Nothobranchius furzeri: one gene and its partner. The protein of the gene in region 2 interacts with the protein of the main gene of each other region in a pairwise test. Links are inferred from orthologs where the notes say so. Each region holds a gene or a part of one and is shown on either strand. Other genes may lie near its edges.

The links.
Region 1: the proteins of poli (region 2) and rev1 interact in a two-hybrid assay, tested with the Homo sapiens proteins (2 studies listed by BioGRID). The link is inferred for Nothobranchius furzeri from reciprocal best matches to the Homo sapiens genes POLI and REV1.

The regions. Positions count from the first base shown.
Region 1 is NC_091754.1:26,371,089-26,377,131, forward strand, and holds the start of rev1 (DNA repair protein REV1), read right to left. Parts: upstream 4,189-6,043; 5' UTR 4,082-4,188; coding exon 3,880-4,081; intron 3,342-3,879; coding exon 3,173-3,341; intron 3,098-3,172; coding exon 2,702-3,097; intron 2,625-2,701; coding exon 1,846-2,624; intron 1,770-1,845; coding exon 1,671-1,769; intron 1,592-1,670; coding exon 1,475-1,591; intron 1,400-1,474; coding exon 1,282-1,399; intron 1,214-1,281; coding exon 1,085-1,213; intron 1,005-1,084; coding exon 850-1,004; intron 779-849; coding exon 659-778; intron 585-658; coding exon 364-584; intron 286-363; coding exon 113-285; intron 43-112; coding exon 1-42. UniProt on the Homo sapiens protein: Deoxycytidyl transferase involved in DNA repair. Transfers a dCMP residue from dCTP to the 3'-end of a DNA primer in a template-dependent reaction.
Region 2 is NC_091750.1:42,536,178-42,542,137, reverse strand, and holds the start of poli (DNA polymerase iota), read right to left. Parts: upstream 3,529-5,960; 5' UTR 3,419-3,528; coding exon 3,340-3,418; intron 3,276-3,339; coding exon 3,156-3,275; intron 3,083-3,155; coding exon 2,918-3,082; intron 2,537-2,917; coding exon 2,390-2,536; intron 2,236-2,389; coding exon 1,999-2,235; intron 1,892-1,998; coding exon 1,713-1,891; intron 1,005-1,712; coding exon 913-1,004; intron 816-912; coding exon 682-815; intron 497-681; coding exon 276-496; intron 1-275. UniProt on the Homo sapiens protein: Error-prone DNA polymerase specifically involved in DNA repair. Plays an important role in translesion synthesis, where the normal high-fidelity DNA polymerases cannot proceed and DNA synthesis stalls. Favors Hoogsteen base-pairing in the active site.

The DNA of each region.
Region 1 (6,043 bases), on a different chromosome or scaffold from region 2:
ATCAGCTGACCGCTGTCGGTGGACTGAGCGAGCATCACAGTCCTGGTGAGAAGTAAAACGAGTCAAGAAAAGCACAAAAACCCACAGGCGGGCTGATGCAGATCTTTCTCACTTTGCCAGATTATCACAAATGCCGTGGCCTCCATATTTAGCCGGCTCCAGCGGCGCTCCTGCTTTACGAACCATGACCTTAAGCGTGACTCTCCGACCGCGTAGCCCCGCTTCTTGTAAACGCCGTTGCACTTCCGTGGATAAACTGGTCAGGAAACTTTCCGTCTCATCAACCTGGTGAGTTTTAAAGCTGCACATTTAGAAATGACGGCTGTTACGAAACGAAGAGCAAAGCAGAAGAGCAGGACCAACCGTGGTGAAACGAATGTTGTAGTTCATCTCAGCCGACACCGATTTTCTCTCCTTCTCAAAGCGAACAGGCCGGTCGTCCAAGCCCCTGCAGAACCGGAACAGGGTTTGTCCGGTACGCGGTCCAAACCTTTTCTGCAGCTGAGACAGAGTAACGTGCTGGAGGTCCCCACATGACGTCACCTCCATACCGGCAAGTTTTTTAGCCATAGCACGACCAACCCCTAGAAAACAGCAACTGTTAACTACTTCACAAATGCTAACAGGTTAGTACTCGTGAGCCGGATGAAACGTTAACCTGGTAAACTGGTAACTGGTAGATCCCTGATAAAATCGTCCACTTCTTCAGATTTAAGGAAGTACTGCCCATTGGGTTTGGCCTTACGGGTCGCCAGCCGAGCCAAAAGAATGTTAGACCCTGAACAGATCACAGTTTGATTAAATACAACTAAATATACAAAATATTCTAGAGGAAGAACCCTGGCTCACCCATCCCCACTGAAGCACAGCATCCTGTTTTCTTCTCGATGTCTGCTCTGATGGCTCTGGCCAAATCCTCCGGGCCGACTCCTACCTCAGCGAGCAGAGCAGAAGCGTCTACCAACGCCTCGTCACAGCTCAGAGCCTCTATGTCACGAGTGTAACTGCATTTCATGAAGTTATCAAGTCAATAACAAACAAACAAAAAACAAAGTGATGATTTGAAGGATTTCAGCTTTCTTACCTCGCTAGGATCTCATACATGTTTAGAGCCACCTCTCTATAAGCCTCAAAGTCATAAGAAACAGCCTGCAACGAGGGGCACAGCTGCTTCGCTTTGCCAAAAAACATCCCGTTCCTCACTCCCACCTGCCTGGGATGGCGAAAACACATATTAAACACTTATTTATTCAGCTAATATTAGCTGTGTTTAAATCATACCTAGCTTCGTAACTACAGGAAGCGATCTCCGCCATGGAGAGAGCCGCGGCATCCGTCTCCGCTCTGCTGTCGCAGGAGTTGGGCCAGCCTTGCGAGGGAGTCCCCAGTAGATCCTCGTCTGATCAGCAGCCACGTTACAGTTTGTTACGACAGAACTCTTTACTTCACGCTTAACAGGGCGGAAAAATCTCACCTGGCTGAGGATGAGTGTGTTTCCTCTGGTAGTACTGCTGCTCCGCCTGCGGGTTAGCTCCAGGCCTTATGGGAACTCTACCCTGTCCGCGGTTGCTGGTGACAGCTACGGGCTTCCCTGCAGGAAAATTCAAAACAAAAATTCAATGTCTAACTTATGTATAAGCGTGTATTTAGAGAGGCAAAAAAAGACCTGCCTTTAAGATCCGGTCTGTGCCGGATCCCGACAGACACAAAAAAACAGTCCATGTCCACATGGAGGATGCATGACTTGATGCTCCTCGGTGCTGATGTGCCTGAAACAAACAAAACAAGATAAAAACGCAGCTGCTAGTTCACAGAATGAATCAACAGAGTGGGCGACTTTCATACCGCGGCTGCCCGTTGGTCGCTGACTTGTGAATTTCTTCAGTCGGTCTCTTCCAGGGTAGGAAGCCACTCCCGGCGCTTTCGTTTTGCTGTGCAGCTCATTGACGTACTCAGAGAAGCTGATCCTCCACGTGGAGATCTGATGCAGACGCGAGTGTGAGTAGAACTCCGAGATCAGACCGCCCGTCTGCTCCAGCAGATGCTCCGAGGCCTTGGACGGAGACTCGCCGGCGGGGGGGTCGGGCTTGGCTGTTACGGAGGCCGTGCCGAGGAACGAGAGGTCGGATGAGAAGGCATCGCGGTGACTGCCGTTCGGTCGAACTGAAGACTGCGACAGAGAACAGGATGAAAGGGACAGATGAGACTGCTCAGAAACTGTTTGGACCCGAGTTGAGAGGAGACGTTTGGGTGGGAGTTGGGTTTTGTTGGCTTTTGGAGACTCAGGACAAGCGGGCGGAGGAGTTCTATGGCCATCAGGTGATGCGTCAAGCTTTGGAGGGCTGGGGGGGAACTCATACGGGTCACACTTGTTCTGTTTCAGAGGACTTTGAGGTTTATCCGTTGAACGCTGCACTTTACTTTTGGACCCGATCCTGTAGTTGGGATCAGTTCCAGAGGACAGGTCCCCTGACTTTAAGGCACCGTTGACAAGATGAGCATGTCCATTAGTAAGGGGGGCTTCATTCACCCCAAAAGAACAAAAGTCATCTTCTGTACACTCCTGCAGCTTTTTTATTTTGGAATGGCTCGTGTTATCCACAGAGGTCTGCAGTCGCCCATTTCTGTAGTAAAGAGACAGAAAATAACTACAAGTTCTCCGTGATTTTAGCTGAAAGCCTTTGCTAGTGCATGTACTCACATTTTAAGGTCTTCTTCATGCAGGTGGGCAGGATGCGAGTGCTTTGTGCTGCACTGGTTGTGTGTGAGTAGATCTGTGGTGAGCTGATTGGGTCTGGGGTTCACCGAGCGAGCTCTGCCACTGTGCAGGGTGGACAAGGGGTCAGCTTCAATGCGGGTGGAGACAAGGATGGAGTTGTTCTGGCAGCTGGACAAGGACCTTTCACTGTGGGGAACAGAGAGCTCAGTGTTGCGCTGTGGCGAACGCAGCTTCTGGCGAGCGCTGGTCTGAAGGGGAAGGTGGCCGGACCCGGTGGCGGTGGAGCTGCGGTGCAGGATAACGCCGGGGAAGAGTGTGCTTTTCTGTTTCGTGTACAGCTGGTACTGGAAATAAGGCAGGAGGCGCCCAGCCACGACACTGTCACAAACAAGCAGAGTTTCAGCTAAAACCGATTAAGCGTCACACGTCGACACTCTCCAGCACCAAACACACCTGTCCGTGATCCACTGGGGCCGGATGACCTTTTCCCCTTTGAGCTCCTGAATCTTGGAGTTGGGTAAGTTGCTGGCGATGATGTGAGTGGTGTTGGAGCGCGAGTAATAGAGATGGAACTGACCCCCGTGTAGCATCATCAGTTTGCGGAGCTCGTCAGCGCTCGGATCTGACGGTAAAACGAAAAGAAACACATTCATTCATAAACTAGAACCTAAAGAAAAGATAGTCTTTTTATCGTTGTTGGGGGATCCTAGACATTCATTTAAAATAATTAGAGAAAAACATGCAAACTCCAGAGAGACAAGCCAAGCTCTGAGGCGTTCAGAAAGCCTTCAGCAGCCTCCTGACATGAATAACAACAGGATCAGGAAGCAGCGCTGCCTTGTTTCTCCATGTCGACGCTGTTAAATCACACTCTCTCCTTTCGATTCGCCCATATGAACGTCAGGCGTTCATTCCTCTAAAGAATACTCTCTTTGGACTTGATTTATGGCCTTGATCAAACCCTTGCAGCATTTCTTTTTTCTTTGTTGCAGAGTTAAATATTTCTTAAATCAATCCTGAAGGAAAAAGCAGGAAGAAGCTTCTGAGCCCTTGAAAACATTTTCTTTTTGCTCTTAAAGGTCAAGAGGAGAAACTGTGACTGGAAGACAGCAAACAAGACTTTTATTACACACTAGATGGGGACTAGTGCAGAGTGCTACCTGTGTATCCGTTGACGTATATGGACACACCGCTGAAGATGCTGGAGCATGTTCCTTCCTTCTGCTTCTCTCTAGGGGCATCACGTTTAAACTGCTCGTCGAGCTTGGAGACCTTGGCGGCCATGTAGCCGCCCTGCAGGAGAAGGAATGTATGAAATAACAGAAACACAGCTGAGACTTTTCTGTGGGCATCACGATCCATCGTTATTTTCTAACCTGCAAAATAACATGTAACGTTGTGTGCTGCAGATCCTGCAAACTGTCTAACTCACAGTGGAGCTCTGACAGCTGTAGGAGAGTAATACTCACCTTTTCACCCCAACCATTATCATCACCAGTATTAGCTTTCTTCTTCATCCACCCATCTCGACTCATACTGAGCTTCCTGTAAACAGAAGGAGACCAACTCTCAACACAGGGACACTAGTAGAAGTAATCATTAATCGATTGGCGGATATTGGCCATTGGTATAAATGTGTATGTGATCATTTATGCACGTGCATGAGATTTTTACTTTTTCTTAATGTTTGCATTGCTTTTATGCTCTTTTCTTAAACCAAATTTGCTGTTTTTGTTCTTATTTTATGCGTGTTTGCTTTTATTGTGTTTTGTTTGATATTAAATACTTAAGTAGATTTACTTCACTACTTAATAAAAGATGCACCGATTCTAGTTTTGAAGGCCAATACCGGTTTCCAATGTTTACACAGCTCTGACCTGCTGATGCAAAATGTAACCAGTTCTATAGATCTCATCAGCAACATGTATTTATTTTGTTTCATCAGTTTGCTTATCAATAATGAGCTGATGGACAGATAATTTTTTTTTATTATTATTGCTTGGTAACAATGCCTTAACGGATGAAAACATGTAAAATTTCAGACACAGTCATGAAGAATGATGGTCGAGTCCAATCTCAAGCTGATTATTTTTGTGTGAGTCTTTATTGTGCGTACTTAAATAATAAGGTGTAGATGCAGCCTGGTCACATTTTAGTTTTCTCAAACCAGAATTCACCTCTGTATAAATGTTTATTTCTTTTTTACACGTCAAAGTGTTATTAAATACATGTTAAAATCGATCAATTTCGTTACATTTTGTTAAATGAAAAAACAAATACACATTTGCAATGTTTGTCAGCCACGGATAGCTTTGATTTCTGCAGATCGGCATTGGTATCTGCAACTGAAAAGCCCACATTGGTCAACCTGTTGTCACAAGTCAAAAAAGCACTCAGATCTCAAAGCAAAATTACTTTAAAGTTATTAATAAACCATGACACGTTCCTACCTGATGACTGAAGAAACTTGCTTATAAAACTTACTTTTGCACGAGCCGGGTGACACATTGATGACATGACAGTCATGTTATGGAACTAATATTCATGTTTTTAGCTATGACTGTCCTGTGAGAGACGTGCCCGGGCAGATTTCACCCACTGACAGGTTGGTCACAACAACAACACAGCTCCATGTGGCATTCACGGGTCAGCTGCTAACATTAGCCTAGCTGCGGTGATCCCTGCCTGCTCCTGAACGTCGCTGCGCCACAACGTGAGAAACATGCCAGTTAAATGAAAACCAGTGGAAGTGTTTTCACCGCACTTGCTAACAACGCTGTAAGAAACAATGAACGAGGTGATTGATTGTGCAACTTAAGCGCGGAGCTAATCGTTGTAGTAAACAAACAGCGGTGCTGGAGTGTCCGCTCGCCAGGAGAAGTCAATAGTTTTTACCTTTAAAGCTGTCAGGCGAGGTTGTTGGTCACAGACTCCTCTCTGCAGATCCTGCTCGGATCAAACGGTGCGTGCTCTCTCTCTCTCTCTGCTTTGGGTTAAACGAGGTAAACGCAGAGCGAAATGAAAATTCTCCAGGCAGGAAGCTCGATGCCACGGCCTCGACTTTGTTTTTCGGAATCGTCCATTTATGGTGGCGAGATTCCTTTATTGTGTCATGCAGCCACGCCATGTCTCCAGAACATTTAAGCTCCCAGTCCTTTCGCTCTCCATTACAGCCGCCTGTTCCATTTACCTTCTCTTTTCTCTCGGCTAGCCTCAAAGCCAGCGGTAAAACAACATACACTTCCGGTACCGTTTTTCAAAACAAGATGTGACTAAAACAATGTGGCAGAGGATTTTCAATTCAGCAAAATTAGAACATTTAGT
Region 2 (5,960 bases):
CTGGTCCAGAGCTGGCCCGCAGCAGCGCGGTATAGCCTACATAATTTGGTATATAAGTCACAGGACCAGACAGACTATGAAAAAAGAGTGACTTATAGTCCAGAAAATACAGTATTTATTTAATAATAAAAAAGTAAAAATATGGTAATAGTCTTTAAATTTTCAGAAAAATCCTTTAAAAATACACAAAAGGTACAAACCACCTTTAATGATATAAAGAGGAGAAATGAAGAGCTCATTTAAATGACAGAATCTGTAGATCTTAAACACACCACCTGGTTTTGTGACGGTAAGAGATGGGGTTTTCTGGGGGATGCGTTCTGCGTGAAGAACGATGTGATGGCGCCCCTCCCGCTCACGGCCGCCCCTCTCGTCTGCAGGTTGCTGAAGCAGACATTTATGAGTGTGAGGTGAAAATCAGCACTGCTGTCCACCATCTTCTGGAAAAGTTTCATAGCCATCGAAACCAGCTGGACCACAGCTTCTTCTCTGTTTTCTGTGGAGAGAAAATAGAAAAACTTTTATTTTTAGGTGGTTTCAGAAAGCAGGAACAAATAAAACTCATCTAAAGTTCAGGAGAAGAGGCTCTCACTGCCTCGAAATAAACACTGAGATTAATCCGGAAATGTGTTTCAAACCAAACTTGTTTCACTAAATAAAAGTAGATCAAAGTGGCCACACCAGAGCTGATCTTCTGTCCGATGCTGTTGGGGATCGGGCACTGGCGGCTCTCCCGACTGAACCACTTGTTGGTCGTCGTGAATCTTCGGATTGTAAGCCTGAAGGTTTGAGGCTGGCGGCCATCTTTCTGCATCCTGGTTTTTATAAAACAAGACAAAGTAGAAGCGGCAAGTCTTCATTCAAAGATTAGAACCATGGATCCATTGATGAGGTGCTGAAACTGGTCCTGACCTTTCTACCAGACTGCTCAAGAGCTGCTGAATCTTTTCCACAACTTCTTTAGTTGAAGACATTTTTTTGAAGGAATCTTCATCACTGAGAGACTGAACGATGAAGAGGACATTAATGCAACTGATAAACACCATTTCCTGATCAAGCAGCATCTAAAGACAGATTCACACCAATACATTGATAGTTTCTGATATGTAATCTTTATTATTGGAGATATTGTCCTTAGTTAAACCTACTTTTATTGCATAAAATTAATGTCAGTGTAATAATCCTACAAAATTCTACTTAAAGAGCAAGTCACCCCCTACCAGAGCATTACTCCACTCCCACTTCCTGTTTGAAAAATGCAACAAATGCTGTTACCTAGCAGACAGAGAAGGCGGAGCCGCTAACAAATACACACAAACAGGCTCACAACGACATTGTGACATCATATGGTACCAGCTAATGTCCTAGGTTACCTCTTAGCCAATAGCGATGGCAGATTAAAATTCAAATGCAGTGCAGAGTTTTCCCCGACAACGGCACAACACCGACAGTTTTAAGCAGAAAATTTAAACTTTAACTAAAATGCACTAAAGTGCAAAACTATTGACTACACGTGTCTGCAGCACGATTAGACACGCGTTTATATAGTTTATCAGAAAAATAAAGTTGATTAGGGGGTGACTTGCTCTTTAAATAGACATAAGTCCAAATCTATTCACAGCTTCATGGCGGTCATTTCTAATATATGATAAATAACTAAATGCTACTTAAGGATAAACGTGTTAGAAAGTCTTTGGGGCCTCTAAATTCACCTGAGGGGCTCCAGAGGGGGTGACAGGAGAATCATCAACACCTAGCACCAGATTCTTCAAGCGCTGAGCCGTAGGACCTCCAAACTGCTTCGCTAAGTCGTTTAAAGGGTAAACCTGCAGGTCTTTAACACTGACCAATCCCAGAGATTGAAGTTTTTTAGCAGTTTGGTGACCCACGCCTGAAAGAAATCACAGAAACACAAAGTTGTTATTTAATACACAAATTAAAGTTTTTTCCACCCTTAAATACCAGCTCTGAATCAGAATATTTTTCTAACGTGCATACCCGGTACTTTTCGGAGGCCGCTCAAGCAGCCCATAATGTCGCCAACGTTCTCCTGCAGTAAAACGGTTTGCTGGTTTGGTTTGAAGGTGCCAGAAACAAGTTTGGCCAGCAGCTTGTTTGTGGCGATGCCAGCACAGCCAGTCAGGCCGAGTTTGCCGCGGACGGCTTCTCTCAGCTCTGCTGCGATGTGAGAACCTAAAGCCAACCTGGGGTGGTCGCTGGCTTTAGCATCAGCACCTGAGCAAGAACGGAGAAAAAGAAAAAAAAATCTAAAATGGAACGGTTAGAGTGACACTGAAAACGGCATGCAAATACGTCACAAATGAACTCTTTCACAAGTTATCTTTCAGTTTCAGTGAGCCAGATGTGCAGCGGCAGACACACAACTCACTGGAGTGATTGTAGACGCGTCCTTTGAAGGAAAAGCAGCCAGGCTCTGCTGTCTGTTTGAGCTTTTGTTCCACCATCTCTGTGACATCCATGAAGTTTTCATCAAATCCAAGCCTCTCAACCAGGGGACAATAAGACATCAGCAGCTCTGAAAGTGAAGGTGAGCAGAAAACATTTATAATTTATGCATTTTTGATGTTAACTAATTTAAACATCAGCTTTTTTCTCCCCACAATAACAATAACAGAAGACAAGGACACATTTCTTGTAGCAGCTCAGCTGCGATATAAATTTGTATCTTCTTTACTGACTTCTGTGACACTTATTTTTAATTTTCCAGTTTTGATAGCAAAAGGCGCTCTTTTATTATTATTTTTTTTTTGGCTGCATATGATAGTTTAAGGTTTAATGTGCTTCCTGTTGGGATTTAATAACTAAAATCAAACAGCCAACAGCACATTTTTCCCCACAAAAATCAATCTGATGTGTTGGAGGATATAAAATTCTCTAAATAGGTAAGAACGGCTACCTGTCACTTTATAGGACATTTCTCTGTAGTGTGTCAGGTCTTCTCCGTTAACCAGCACCAGCTCGGGACACTTCTCCTTTGCGTCAGAGACAGACATCAGCTTGGTAACACCCCGCCCCCTGGCCATGTAGTTACTGGTGACTATGATGTATTTCTGCTGAACACCTGAAGACAGAAGTGTTTAACCTTCACAGAAACTCAGCAACTTTAATATTCCATAATAATATTTTAGGTTTACCTAAAGGCACGCATCTCAGAGCTGGATTTCTTATCATTTCCACCTGAGCGTAGAAGCAGTCCAGGTCAAAATGCAAAATGACTCTGTGTGAAGGAGCTGATGATGCTTTAACAGCTGATCCTGAATATAAGACACAGAAGTTATCTTCAAATCAAGCTGAAGCACCAAAAACTTACAATTTTACCAGAAGCGACTGAGGAGGTGGAAAAGAGAGCTGCTGAATCCACGAAGGAGTTTTTCCACTCGCTAAGTTCTTCCTCCATCTCATCGTCGCTATTATTGATTTTAAAAGACTAACGTGATGGCGTTAACATCACGTTCAGCATAAATACATGCTTTTGTTATTTTGTTTACAGACAGTTCCGCTGCGCGTGTGCGCAACAGCGCCACTGGCCGGCCCGGAGAAGATATTGCAACACACCAAACAGCCAAAGACATCAGGAGAGAAAAAAAAACACATAAAAATGTATGAATGTTGATAAACTTTACAAATGTTGTTTATATAATGTAAATTCCGCATTTATATCAGGGCTTCCAGCATTTGCAAAACTCTCAGGGAACTGTTATTTTACTTTATTTGTCTTTTTTTATTTTATTTAATTATATGCAAAATGTATGAATATAAATTTATAAAAACTGCTAAAAAACTGAACTGTCTGGAGCACTATAGCTAGCTGGGCTTAGCACTTTCACGTCACAAAAACATAGTGTTTTCTGTTACATAAATACAGTTAATAATTATGTTTACAGCTAAATAAATATAACAAAAGAAAAAGTATGTTAGCGTTGAGAAGATCTTTTATATAGAGCCTCTCAAGATAAAAATCACGAGGTGCTTCACAAAAACAAAACAATTAAAGTATAAAAATATGTTTAAATGACTAAAAATATGTTTAAAAATAGAAAAGAACAAAAAATAAATAAATTAGAAGAAAGGAAAGGGAGAGAGAAAATGAATAGCGAGACGCCTTCATGCTGCTGCCAAAACGTTTTAGTGTTTTAATAAGAAAGATTTTACAGGAGGAGTTTCTTCTTCCTCTTTCTCGCCATGGGAGCGGAGGAATTGTTTTGGACGCCTATTTTCAACTTCTATCTCTTCTACTGGTGTAAATAATTATTTTCAGTAAATTTCCTACTTTATGTTTTTATTTAGTAATTTTAGATTATATTTAGTCATATTTGACATTGCTTTGCCATTTTTGTACTGTTCGATCACCCGTAGTTTTGTCTTTTTTCGGCTGCGTTTTTCACTGAGGCTTTTTAGTTTTTTACGTTAGATTGGTTTTTGTAAATAAACCAGGAAACCTTCTAGAAAGAGGAAACTTCTCTCAAAAGTTGTTGATGAGGAGCAAGATGTGCCCACATTGTTTTTCCATCCCAAATGCAGTAAGTATCTCTGCACTAAACCCGTTCCAGTTTCTGTTGTCTAGTATTTCTGCTAATACTATTACTATACTATTATATACTATTACTGCAACTTCCAGAAAAACAAAAGGTCCATGTACATCTGTGGTGAGGATTCAGGTGTGGATGAAGATGATTTGCCATCACAGCTACAGTATATTTATCTACAGTTTAATTAATTTTTTTTTACAGTTTTCATTTTCTAGTATTTACCAGTTATAATCGGTATGTTGCTCTTGAGGCTAACAACAACAATAACAACAACAACAACAAACAATTTCCAGTCAGTCGTAGGTTGCAGTGAGGCAGCGTGATGAATCATGGAGAGGAGGGAACAAGGAGTGGACAGTAGAGAGGGGGGACGGGTGCAGGGAGGGTGCTAGTTTAGAAGACGCTCTGTGAAGAGCAGGGTCTTCAGGAGTTTCTTGAAAGTGGAAAAGGAAGCCCCTGTTCTTGTAGCGCTTGGTAGGTCTTTCCACATTTGTGGAACAATGCATGAGAAGAGTCTGGATTGTCCCGAGCGTGGCGTAGGCTCTGCTAGCCGACGATCTTGTGATGACCGGAGCGGCCGAGCCGAGACGTAAGCCTTTGCAAGAGGATTCAGGTGGATGGGAGCCGTGCCATCTCGGACTTTGTATGCTAGTGTTAGCAATTTGAATTTGATGCGTGCAGCTAGTGGTAGCCAGTGGAGCTCAATGAACAGAGGGGTGATGTGTGCTCTTTTTGGTTGATTGAAGACCAGACGCGCCGCTGCGTTCTGGACCATTTGAAAAGGTCTAACAGTTAGTGGTGTGCATCTCTACCTGCCTCACGATTCGATCCGATTCCGATTAACTGCCTAACGATTCGATTTGAGTCTGAAATGCATCACGATTCTTCACACAAAAATTTTCATTACTTAATAAAAGCAGTAGAATAGTTTTCAATTTCGTTTTGAATTCGAAATCCCTGAAAAACAGAACATTCATCTATTCACTATAGTGAGCAATAATGTTTAAAGTGTGCTGCCGATAATTACTTAAATAATATAAGAAATAATGTTTTCGGTAGAGCAGCTTTAAGATAGAATATTACTGAACTTAAAAATAGTAAACAAATACTGTATTAAGCGATTCTTTCACATCCAGGATCCCAAAACAGAAATTAGCCCAGACATCCGATTTAAATGTAACGGGTACATCTTTGATTACTGGTAATGTTGGCCCTGTACCCCTGTCCAATTGCTTCTAGGACAACGCAGTGCGCATGTCATTGCAACTCTGCCCCCAGAAGTAATTATAAAACCTCAAAATTTTATTGTTCTCGCATAGACTTAGACCAGGGGTCGGCAACCTGTTCCCATCAAAGAGCCATTATTACCCGTTTCCCACAGTAAACAAAACACCGCAGCAGCCACGGCGT